Callithrix jacchus: one gene and its partners. The protein of the gene in region 2 purifies or fractionates together with the protein of the main gene of each other region. This does not show direct contact. Links are inferred from orthologs where the notes say so. Each region holds a gene or a part of one and is shown on either strand. Other genes may lie near its edges.

What was found.
Region 1: the proteins of DTL (region 2) and CUL4A purify together in Homo sapiens (affinity purification with western blotting; 15 studies listed by BioGRID and IntAct, with this or other methods). This does not show direct contact. The link is inferred for Callithrix jacchus from reciprocal best matches to the Homo sapiens genes DTL and CUL4A.
Region 3: the proteins of DTL (region 2) and COPS5 purify together in Homo sapiens (affinity purification with mass spectrometry; 6 studies listed by BioGRID and IntAct, with this or other methods). This does not show direct contact. The link is inferred for Callithrix jacchus from reciprocal best matches to the Homo sapiens genes DTL and COPS5.

Annotation. Positions count from the first base shown.
Region 1 is NC_133502.1:28,688,372-28,692,024, forward strand, and holds part of CUL4A (cullin-4A), read left to right. Parts: intron 1-613; coding exon 614-776; intron 777-1,273; coding exon 1,274-1,363; intron 1,364-2,382; coding exon 2,383-2,465; exon of another isoform or gene 2,466-3,653. UniProt on the Homo sapiens protein: Core component of multiple cullin-RING-based E3 ubiquitin-protein ligase complexes which mediate the ubiquitination of target proteins. As a scaffold protein may contribute to catalysis through positioning of the substrate and the ubiquitin-conjugating enzyme.
Region 2 is NC_133520.1:17,185,764-17,189,416, reverse strand, and holds part of DTL (denticleless protein homolog), read right to left. Parts: intron 3,481-3,653; coding exon 3,433-3,480; intron 3,313-3,432; coding exon 3,187-3,312; intron 1,930-3,186; coding exon 1,831-1,929; intron 1-1,830. UniProt on the Homo sapiens protein: Substrate-specific adapter of a DCX (DDB1-CUL4-X-box) E3 ubiquitin-protein ligase complex required for cell cycle control, DNA damage response and translesion DNA synthesis.
Region 3 is NC_133517.1:22,930,748-22,934,400, reverse strand, and holds part of COPS5 (COP9 signalosome complex subunit 5), read left to right. Parts: intron 1-1,863; coding exon 1,864-1,975; intron 1,976-3,653. UniProt on the Homo sapiens protein: Probable protease subunit of the COP9 signalosome complex (CSN), a complex involved in various cellular and developmental processes.

The DNA of each region.
Region 1 (3,653 bases), on a different chromosome or scaffold from region 2:
AGATGGTTTAGTGGACACTCAGTGGCAGTTGAACCATCTTCCTAACATTGCTAAGGCCATGAGCTGAGGACTGCGATGAACTCTGAAATCCACGTGCTTCTCTTCTCAGGGGAAAGCAGCTAACATTTGGTAGGAGAGCTCCCAGGGCTGGAAGGGAAGCTGCTGGGACGTACTTCATAAGGACACGGGGAAGAGGGTGCACGCTGAGGGCTGCTGCAGATGGAGCCAGGGCGGGGCAGGTGGGGCAGGCAGGGTCGTGGTACTCGAGTGCCTGAGTGTCTCCAGCCACTCACCAGGAAGGTGATGAGAACCCTGGGCTTCCATGGCAGATCGTGTCATACTAATTTTATTGTCAGTGGCATGCATGACCTAGCAGTGTCTTAGTGCCTGACTGCCCCCAGGAACATGGAGCAGTCCTGTTTAAGGAAGGAAATACATGGCACACTAGTCTGGCCAAAAAAACAGACGTTTTTAAAAAGGAATGCTTGGCATCTAGATGTAGAGAATTAGCAACTTCACATTTTTTTGATAATGTTGAATAGCATAGCTGGAGTTTCACCCATAACTTCTAAAAAGCAAAACTAAGTCGTCTTGTTTCTTACTGTCTGTACAGGGATATGGGATTAGAACTATTCAGAACCCATATTATCAGTGATAAAATGGTTCAGAGTAGAACCATTGATGGAATCCTGCTGCTGATCGAGCGTGAGAGGAGCGGTGAGGCCGTGGACCGGAGCCTGCTGCGGAGCCTGCTGGGCATGCTGTCCGACCTGCAGGTGAGCACGCTGCACTGGAAGATACCCGGGTACCTGCCCAGCTCCTCGCTCCAGAATAAATGGTTGTACCAAAGATGTTTAACAATGAAATCACAAAAACATGTTGGAAATAGGAGTTTTTAAAATTTGTGGGAGGGGAATGACTCTCAAGCTAACACCACACCAGGTGCCACAGAAGAGAAGATGGATCAATATGACTACATAAAATGCATGTTTTTCCTGGAAAATACACCAAAATCAGAGACAAAACCAGGTGACACGCTGGGGGAAAGTATTAGCAGCACACAGAACACAAAGGGCGAAGTTGTTTAGTGCAGCGTGACCCCAAGGCACCGGAGGAGAAGGACAGAGGAAGGACAGTGCAGCCGGGCTGGCTGGGTGACCACAGCTCCAAGTTCAGGTCATGGCAGCCTGCCCCTCAGAAACCAGGATGTGTTAGCACTCGAAAAGATAGTTTCCCTTACTGAAATTGGTTAGTAACTCTGCTCATTTCTTAGGTGTATAAAGACTCATTTGAACTGAAATTTTTGGAAGAAACGAATTGCTTGTATGCTGCAGAAGGCCAAAGGTTGATGCAGGAAAGAGAGGTGAGGTGATGGGATGTTTCGCTTCTGTGGACGAGCACCCGGGAGTACTTCCCTAATGTTCGCCTTTACACACACACGCAGGCGTTTCATTGAAATCTGAAAGCTGCAGTCTTGCCAGAATACCCAGTAATGAGCTTCATTCTGAGTATACTAAGAATTTAGTTTCCATTAACTTAGTAACTATTGCACTCCTCCGACAAGTAAAAAGCCAGTAAGATTGTTTCTGAAGTAAGTAAAATAACTCAAATTTAAGCAACATGAGAACATTTTAAAAATGAAATATAAATACAAATTATGAAATTTTTTATGTGTGTGAAGCACTGAAAAAAAAATTCCCAAAAAAGCCATGTGAAAAAACGTGTAATAGTGATAGGAACCCAGAAACATGCCCACTTTCCCACATAGCAGAGCAGAGTCAGAAAGGAGCCTGCCCTGTGGGCTGCCACCCAAATGGTGCATGCTACTGCCCAGAGTGGACCTTGGCCATGGGTTCCTTTATCCTGGCTTTGGGGAGGAAGTTTAATGTCGGACGCTGGACCTGGCTGCAGCTACCCAGGGCAGAGCCTCAGACCTTTCCTGTGATGTCTTGGGAAACGTGGGTGTACTTTGAGGTCTGCAGCCATGTTTGGTGTCCCCACGTGAGCAGCCAGCTTGCTGACTTGCTTTTGCTGACCCAGCTGTGCGGGCTCAGCACCTCACCCTCCTACCAGGTGCTGCTCACCTCCACACTGGCCTCGGGGATGGGAGGAGGCTCTGCGCACACCCCAAAACTTGATGGCGAGCAGGGACGACAAAGAAGTGCAGCCTGGGCGCTTGTTCTAAGATGGATGTTAGTCTCAGGAGCCTGCTCCTTGTCCCCCACACACTTCCACCCTACCTCTCCCTCCCTATTAGTCTGTGTTAACATTTGGCTTGAATGTATATTCTGATTTTTTAAAAAATTAAGGAAAACAAAATGTTGATTTCTTGAATAACGTCAGCAGTTGTTTTGTTACTGATCTGCTTGTTTTGTTTGGAAGGTTCCAGAATACCTTAACCATGTAAGTAAACGCTTAGAGGAGGAAGGAGACCGAGTAATCACTTTCTTGGACCACGGCACACAGTAAGTACCATTCACGCACCGAGCGTTCGTGTCTTCACCACGGCTGGAAGGTTCTCCTGGCTGGTTCTTGAAATAAAGGGTGTCTTTGTCAGTTCATTCAGTACTTTCTAAGAGTGTTTTTGCACCTAGCGTATCTTACTTATGTTATTTGGCATGATTTGGCATTTACAAATTACACTTTTTACCCAGTGCTTCGTCATGGCTTATTGTCTAAGTGGAGTAAATCTTGCTGAGATACCTGGCATCTTTGAGTTTTGAGATGGTCTATTTACGTTAATGGAGTCTTACTGAATGTTAGACTATTTTGATTGCAAACCTTCTGCTACACATTTTATATCGCTTTAATTTTATTTTTGGTGCTGTCACACAATTTTCTCTTTTCATCTGATGTTTTTTTTCTGTAAACCCGAGGTTGATGAGTAGTTAGGGAAATAAAAAGCTAGAGATTGTGTGAGCTTGCATGTCAGGCACAGAGGGTCCATTCTTGTGATGGGAGGCAAGAACAGAGGCAGAGGGGACAGCCAGGGAGAGACATGAAAATGATAGAATGTGCAGAACAGGACTCGGGGGGACTCAGCAGAGAAGACAGAGGAAGAGAGATGGAAATGGTACCATGTGCAGAACAGGACTCGGGGGGACTCAGCAGAGAAGACAGAGTGGAAGAGAGATGGAAATGGTACCGTGTGCAGAACAGGATGCGGGGGGACTCAGCAGAGAAGACAGAGGAAGAGAGATGGAAATGGTACCCTGTGCAGAACAGGATTCGGGGGGAACTCAGCAGGGAAGACAGAGGAAGAGAGATGGAAATGGTACCCTGTGCAGAACAGGACTCGGGGGGGCTCAGCAGAGAAGACAGAGGAAGAGACATGGAAATGGTACCCTGTGCAGAACAGGACTTGGTAGGGAAAGGGGCAGACAGGGTGAAGGAAAGGGACAGGATTATGACAGCATACAGCACGAAAACAGAGGATGCAGGAGAAAAGATGCAGTCACTCAGATGCGTGGAGTTGAAGGAGCCTGTAGGAAATCCAGGATCTTGAGCCAGGCCAGGGCAGCTTAGGGGCCACCTTGTGCTTCCATCCAACCAGGAGCAGAAGAGGAGCCCCCAGGGAAGTCCGGGGTAAATAGCGGAGAGAGCGGCTGCCACGGCCAAGCCCCACAACCAGGGTGTGCAAGTCACACAGCCTT
Region 2 (3,653 bases):
TTGGCTGCCATATAAATAGTAGTTTAAACAGCTGGAAAGATGTAGTAGTAAAAAGATCAGTAGTCAATAATTTGAAAAATGCAAATCAAAACCACAATGAGCTACCATCTCACGCCAGTCAGAATGGCGATTATTAAAAAGTCAAGAAACAACAGATGCAGGCAAGGCTGCATAGAGATAGGAACACTTTTACACTGTTGTTGGGAATGTAAATTAATTCAACCATGTGGAAGACAATGTGGTGATTCTTCAAAGACCTAGAACCAGAAATACCATTTGACCCAGTAATCCCATTACTGAGTATATAACCCCCAAGATAGAAATCATTCTACTATAAAGGTACATGCATGCATATGTTCACTGCAGCACTATTCATGATAGCAAAGACATGGAATCAACCCAAATGCCCATCAATGATAGACTGGATGAAGGAAATGTGGTACATCTACACCATGGAATACAATGCAGCCATAAAAAAGAGGTATCAGAGATCATGTCCTTTGCAGGGACATGGATGGAGCTGGAAGTCACTATCCTCAGCAAACTCAACACAAACAGAAAACCAAACACTGCATGTTATCACTCATAAGTGGGAGCTGAAGAACGAGAGCAGGTGCACACAGGGAGGGGAAAACACATATTGGGGCCTGTTGAGGGGAGCAGAGGGAGGGAGAACATCAGAAAAAATAACTAATGCATGCTGGGCTTAACACCTAGATGATGGGTTGATATGTGCAGCAAACCACCATAGCACACGTTTACCTATGTAACAAACCTGCACATCTTGCACATGTACCCTGGAACTTAAAATAATAAAAATAAATAAAGATTCACACATAAAAAATCAGTAGTCAGCACCCTAGGGTGCATGAGCCAAAGAGAATTTGTGGACTCAGACATTACACGTTCCCTTAATTACCACATGAGAACTACTACCATCTGATGTCAAATTCCTTTCCATAAGTTCATTAGTAATATATTCTCTAAAACAGAATCTATCTGAAACACATTCCAGTTCAAAAATCTTCATGATGCTGGCTGGGCACAGTGGCTTACACCTGTAATCTCAGCACTTTGGGAGGCCGAGACAGGCAGATCACATGAGGCCAGGGGTTGGAAACCAGCCTGGCCACATGGTGAAACCCCTCTCTACCAAAAATACAAAAACAAAAACAAACAGAAAACAAAAAAGAACTTCATGATGCTCTCTGAATGGAATGTAAAATACTTTGGTTTGACATTCAAATTTCTGCTTGCTTTAGCCTTTATCTTGGTTGCAAGCCTCATCTCTCACTGCTCTAGATATATCTTATTCCAATCAAATTGGTCACTTCCTATTTTATTATATCCTATGCCTTTTCTATCTCTAGACCTTTGCTAATGCCTTTCCCTCCACCTGGAGTGCCCTCTTCCATTTCCAGTGGTCTAAATAGACCAGTGGAATTTTATAATATATAAATTTTCCTAGCCTTCTTTCCTAAGAGGTGGGCAGATGAGTGAGTTCTCACTCTGTTAGTTCCCTGGAGAGCTGGTTGTTGAAAAAGGGCTTGGCACCACCTCCCTTTTCTTGCCATGAGACCTCTGTATTCATGGGCTCCTCTTTGGCTTAATGAGTGAGGATAGCCTGACGCCTTCAACAGATGTCTAATCTTCTAGCCAGCAGACTCATGCACCAAATAAACGTTTTCTTCTTTTTAATCTACCCAGTTTCAGTTATTCCTTTATAGCAACACAAGACAGACTAAAACAGAATGTGTCCAAATAATAATTCACTTGAGGATTTATAAATTATTTTAAATGTTAAAACAAAAATTGGAGACCTAGACTTACCTTTGAAGCACTTCTTTCTGAAAGTTTGTGATTCAGTGTTATACAATCGAACAAAGCCTTCTTCATTGGCAACTGCTAGGATATGTTCCATATTGGGAGCTAAATCAGAAATAAAGAATGAAATACATAGAGTAACACAAACATTTTTAAGTTTACTGAAAAACCACCAAAATTATCTTCAAATCATCTCTTATTTAGAGAAGGGCTAAATCGAGGGTAGTACTTAAAACAAGAGTGGCACTGGCCAATGGTAAACAATGGCATATGATGATGTAGGCCGCCAGCAGGCTGAGTCTATTAGTTTTATTTTTTATTACATTTTTATTAATTTTCACCACAATCATGACTACATAAGAGTCTATTAGATTTGTTTATTTTTGAGACAGTCTCACTCTGTCACCTAGGCTGGAATGCAATGGCATGATCTTGGCTCACTGCAACCTCCACCTCCCAGGTACAAGTGATTCTCTTGCCTTAGCCTCCCCAGCAGCTGGGACTACAGGCATGCACCATTATGCCTGGCTAATTTTTGTAAGCAGTCTGTTAGCTTGAAATTTCCTTTTCACAACTTTTTCTCTTTTTTCTCAAACTATTATGGGTGAAGACAAGTACTTCTATTTCTTTCTTTTTTTTTTTTGGAGATGAAGTTTTGCTCTGTCACCCAGGCTGGAGTGCAATGGCATAATCTTGGTTCACTGTATTCAAGCAATTCTCCTGACTCAGCCTCCCAGATTCAAGCAATTTTCCTGTCTCAGCCTCCTGAGTAGCTGGGATTATAGGTGTGCACCACCACACCCAGCTAATTTTTTGTAATTTTAGTAAAGACAGGGTTTCACGTTGATCAGGCTGGCCTTGAACTCCTGAACTCAAGTGCTCCAGCTGCCTTGGCCTCCCAAAGTACTGGGATTACAAGTGTAAGTCACTGTGCCTGGTCCCGCCTTGGCCTCCCAAAGTGCTGGGATTACAGGTGTGAGCCACTGTGCCTAGCGAAGTACTTCCATTTCTGTTCATATATTCCCCAATGAATCATGGAAAGATACATTCAACCAGATCAAAGGGTATGTATCTACTGGGTAAAACAATTTCATAATAGCTGAACCTTTGCAACCTTTTTCTTAATATCACTTAAAAAAAAATGGTGCTATAAGAGTCTATGCTTTAGAGGAAATATAGTTATGCTAATGATGCACAGAGATTAAGTTATTTTATAAATCAGAAGACAATGGTCTTTAAAAAAAACTCTAACATCCACCTAATTTACTTTTCTTTGAAAGGGAAATACTACAGTATATTTTCCCTGTAAGTGTGAAATAGATGATTTCTGTCCAAGCCTTGCCTAGAGAGTAATTCTCTTACCAGAAGAGAAGGTACATCCAAAAGGAGGAACTGGGACTCCTGTTTCTCCATAAGAAGTGTGTTCATCATTACCACTGCACTGATAACCAGCCAGAAGGGATTGTAGAGGGTATTGTGAAGACCATCCTAAAACAAGACAATTTCTTATAGAATTCCAATAGAGCATTACATTTCAGCATTTTTAACAAATGCAGAGGTAAATATTTGTTCTTAGGAAACTTTAGATATTAACACAGATCCACTTACTATTAATATCTATGGAAGAATCAGTTTCTGGTATTTTCTTAAAGAATCCTAAGGAAGAAATGAAAGAACACTTCCAACTTCTGGGGACATATAGCTTTGGGCTTACTATCTTAAATGTAGACTCTCACTAGTTCATTGAGATAAGAAGAAACAAGAGGCCTTTGCATATTAAGAAAGATCTTCTCCATTCTTGTAAGAGACCACCATGAAAGCATTCTATT
Region 3 (3,653 bases), on a different chromosome or scaffold from region 2:
CCAGCCTGGATAACATGGTGAAACCTCATCTCTGCTAAAAGTACAAAAAATTAGCTGGGCATGTTGGCAGATGCCTGTGATCCCAGCTACTCAGGAGCTACACAGGACATTCGCTTGAACCTGGGAGGTAGACGCTGCAGTGAACCCAGATTGCGCCACTGCACTCCAGCCTAAGTGACAGAGCAAGACTCTGGCTGAAGAAAAGCATTCTGTTTTACAAGGGGTACCTATGTGTCTTTATCTTTTGCACCACTAATCTCTGAGTCTGAACCTCTGTCTCTTCTCATCTGCTCTGCTGCAGTGGCTTTCTTTGTGGAATCCCTGCCTCCAGTTTCTCTCCTGTAACATGTCCTGATGGTACTGCCACAGCCAGGCTTCTATAAAACACCCCTTTGACTGTATTATTAATCTGCTAAAGTACCTTCCATTCTACTCAAGCACTTTCCATGAGTCCCAGTTATCCAAAGGATAAAGTCTAAATTTCTTACCTTTTGGCCGGCTGTGGTGGCTCACACCTGTAATCCCAGCACTTTGGGAGGCCAAGGCAGGCAGATCACCTTAGGTCAGGAGTTTGAGACCAGTCTGACCAATACGGTAAAACCCCATCTCTACTAAAAATAAAAAAATTAGCCGGGCATGGTGGTGGTGGGCGCCTGTCCTAGCTGTTTGGGAGGCTGAGACAGGAGAATTACTTGAACCCAGGAGGCAGAGGTTGCAGTGAGCCAAGATCATTCCACTGCACTGTAGCCTGGGTGACAGAACAAGACTTTGTCTCAAAAAAAAAAAATTCTTAACCTTTTATGTAACATCCTCCGCCACCTAGACCCCAGCTTTCTAGCTTCCCCTCACATAATTCTTCTCTTGCTAAATTGTCCAGCTAAACCCATTACCTTATTATCCCTTACATGTCTTTCCTTTTTGTGTGTTGATGCTCTCTGCCTAATGTCCCCCTTGCTCTCACATATCCATACGATAGATTCATAAATGGTTACCCTACACCTTGCCTTTTCCCTGAGACTTCTCAGGCAATTCTAGCTCCAGATGATCACTTGAGCTCCTCTACATGAAGAGTACTTATTATCTCTAACCCTTAGTTGGTGGATGGTTCATTTTATATAGCACTATAGCATCACTTATTGTTATTCAATGTACATCATTACATTTAATGTTTTGGTGGGTTTAGACCACATCCCCCATATAAATGGTGACTTCCTCAAGGTAAAGATGTCTCTTATGCTTTTTTATATCCATTGTTACACGGAAGCAACTGAGATAGTTTAAATTTTTAAAAAATGCATTTTCAGACATTTAACTTCTAGATTTTTCTTACTATGCCCTGATGATAAATTAGGCACCTTTGAAAGTGGGAGCAATTTTTTTAGATGCCTTAAGGACCTACCTAAAAAATTTGATTTTCCAAAATGCAGTAGGTCCTAAATAGGGAACTAGAAAGGGAAACAAATCCACATGAGATTTTTATTATTTTAAAGTGGCTAACAAAAATTATAATTTACCCTAGAGAGGCAGCTCATTAAATTTATGTGCTGTTGGCTTCAATTTTTCAGCAACAGGAATAAACTTGTCATTCAGAAGTTTTGACTGGTTAATAACATCTTGGGAATTTCTGGGCTCTACAGAAATAAAAGGAATAAAACAAGGATGTTTAGTAGAAGATTTGGATCCACAACCCTTGAAGTGTAAAGAAACCATGGTTAGCTATTACCTTGTTGGAATAAAAACTAAAACATGAGAATAAGGGATAATTTGAGAATAAAGTATAATTCACTTAAATTTGGCCATAACTTTTATGTGATGTAGTTGAATTTTTTTTCACTTACTAAATTTTGTGCTTTTATTTCATAGATATTATGCCTTAGAGGTCTCATATTTCAAATCCTCTTTGGATCGAAAATTGCTCGAGCTGTTGTGGAATAAATACTGGGTGAATACATTGAGTTCCTCTAGCTTGCTTACTGTAAGTATTATACTTGCAAGGAATGCATTTGAATTTTATCTAAGCTACTTAGCCATTTAATATCTGAAACACTGTTTCACAGAAAGGCAGTACCTAACTTGGCCAAGACACCAAGGCTGAGGTGAGATTCTGCACCACCAGAGTGGGATTAGGATGCTAGGCCAATTCAAGATTTTTGTCATGACCCATAGAGACAAAGTCTAAGTAGCAAATAGAGTGGCCAGATCAGGGTGAGATCTGCTCCTGCCATAAGGAGATTTATGGATAAAAAATATACAAATATTGATTTTTGTGTATCAGGTGTCTCAGCTTGGAGTCTGGTTGCAAGTAACACGACACCTAATGAAATTAGCTTAAGAAAGAGAACTGCGTAAGTTGCAAAGTTGAGGAATAAGGCTTAACTTAGGCACAGCTAAGTTTTCATTCAAACAATATTATGAGATCTTGTGTTTTTTCTCTCTTAGCATTGATTTCATCTTAGTTACTGCTAGTTTCAGGCTTCATGTGAAAGCAAGACAGCAGCTTTAGCTTTAGACCTCCAGGCCTCTCAGTTTCATGTTCAAAGAAAGAGATGGTCAAGATACACACACACACACACACACACACACACACACACACACTCTCTCTCTCTCTCTCTCTCTCTCTCTCTCTCTCTCTCTCTCTCTCCCCCCCCCCCCCACCCTCTCTCTCTCTCCCAGTCAAAACTTCATTGTGTCTGACTGGCTTTACTTAATCACATGCCCATTTTTAGGACACACACACACACATACACACAGACACACACCCCCATGCAAAATTTCATTGTGTCTGACTGGCTTTACTTAATCACATGCCCATTTTAAGGCCAACTGAATAAGCCTGATGAATGGCTTTGGCCATGGCAAGTGCTTTACTGCTGGGCCACAGTGTAGAAAACTCCTTCAGTAGCTCAAGTACTAAAAACGGGGAAGGAGAGGTTCCCAAAGGGAATCAGAATAGCATTACCTTAAAGCAGTAGATGCTGGGAGGGAAAAAAAAAAAGAGGTCACTGAATTTTTTCTGATAATATAAAAACCCAAAATATTTGGAAGGATATTTAATCAGCTTCTCTATATATAGAACTTAGGAACAATTTTTTTACTTTTCTAAAAAAGCAGGCCATTTCATATACTGCAGTATATATAGTAGTTAGAACCATAGGATTTAGAATAAAATAAACTGGGCTTGGAGAATATGAGCTACAGCAGCAGGAGTCATAGTAGGACCATCACTTAGAAGTTTCTTACGCTCTTTGATCAAGTATTGGTTGAAAGGAGTACAGCTGAAGCTGGAACTAAAGAAGGCATTATGCTTCCAGAAAAATCTTAAGGTAAAGCATTGCAAGCAACAGTAGTAGCTGTTGGATCACGCTTTCAAGGAAAAGGTGGATTCAACCAGTTAATGTGAAAGTAAGAGATAAAGAATTATTCTCCCTGAATATGGAGGTACCAAAGCACCAAAGTAAAGAACTACTTTGCCATTCTTTAGGTTTATTCAGTTGACCTGGAAAGCCAAGGATTGTGTTTTCGTTTCGTTTTTTGAGACAGGGTCCCTGTCATACAGGCTGGAGTGTGGTGGTACAATCTTGGCTCACTGCAGCCTCAGCCTCCCAGGCTCAAGCAGTCCTCTCGCCTCAGCTTCCCAAGTAGCTGGGACTATA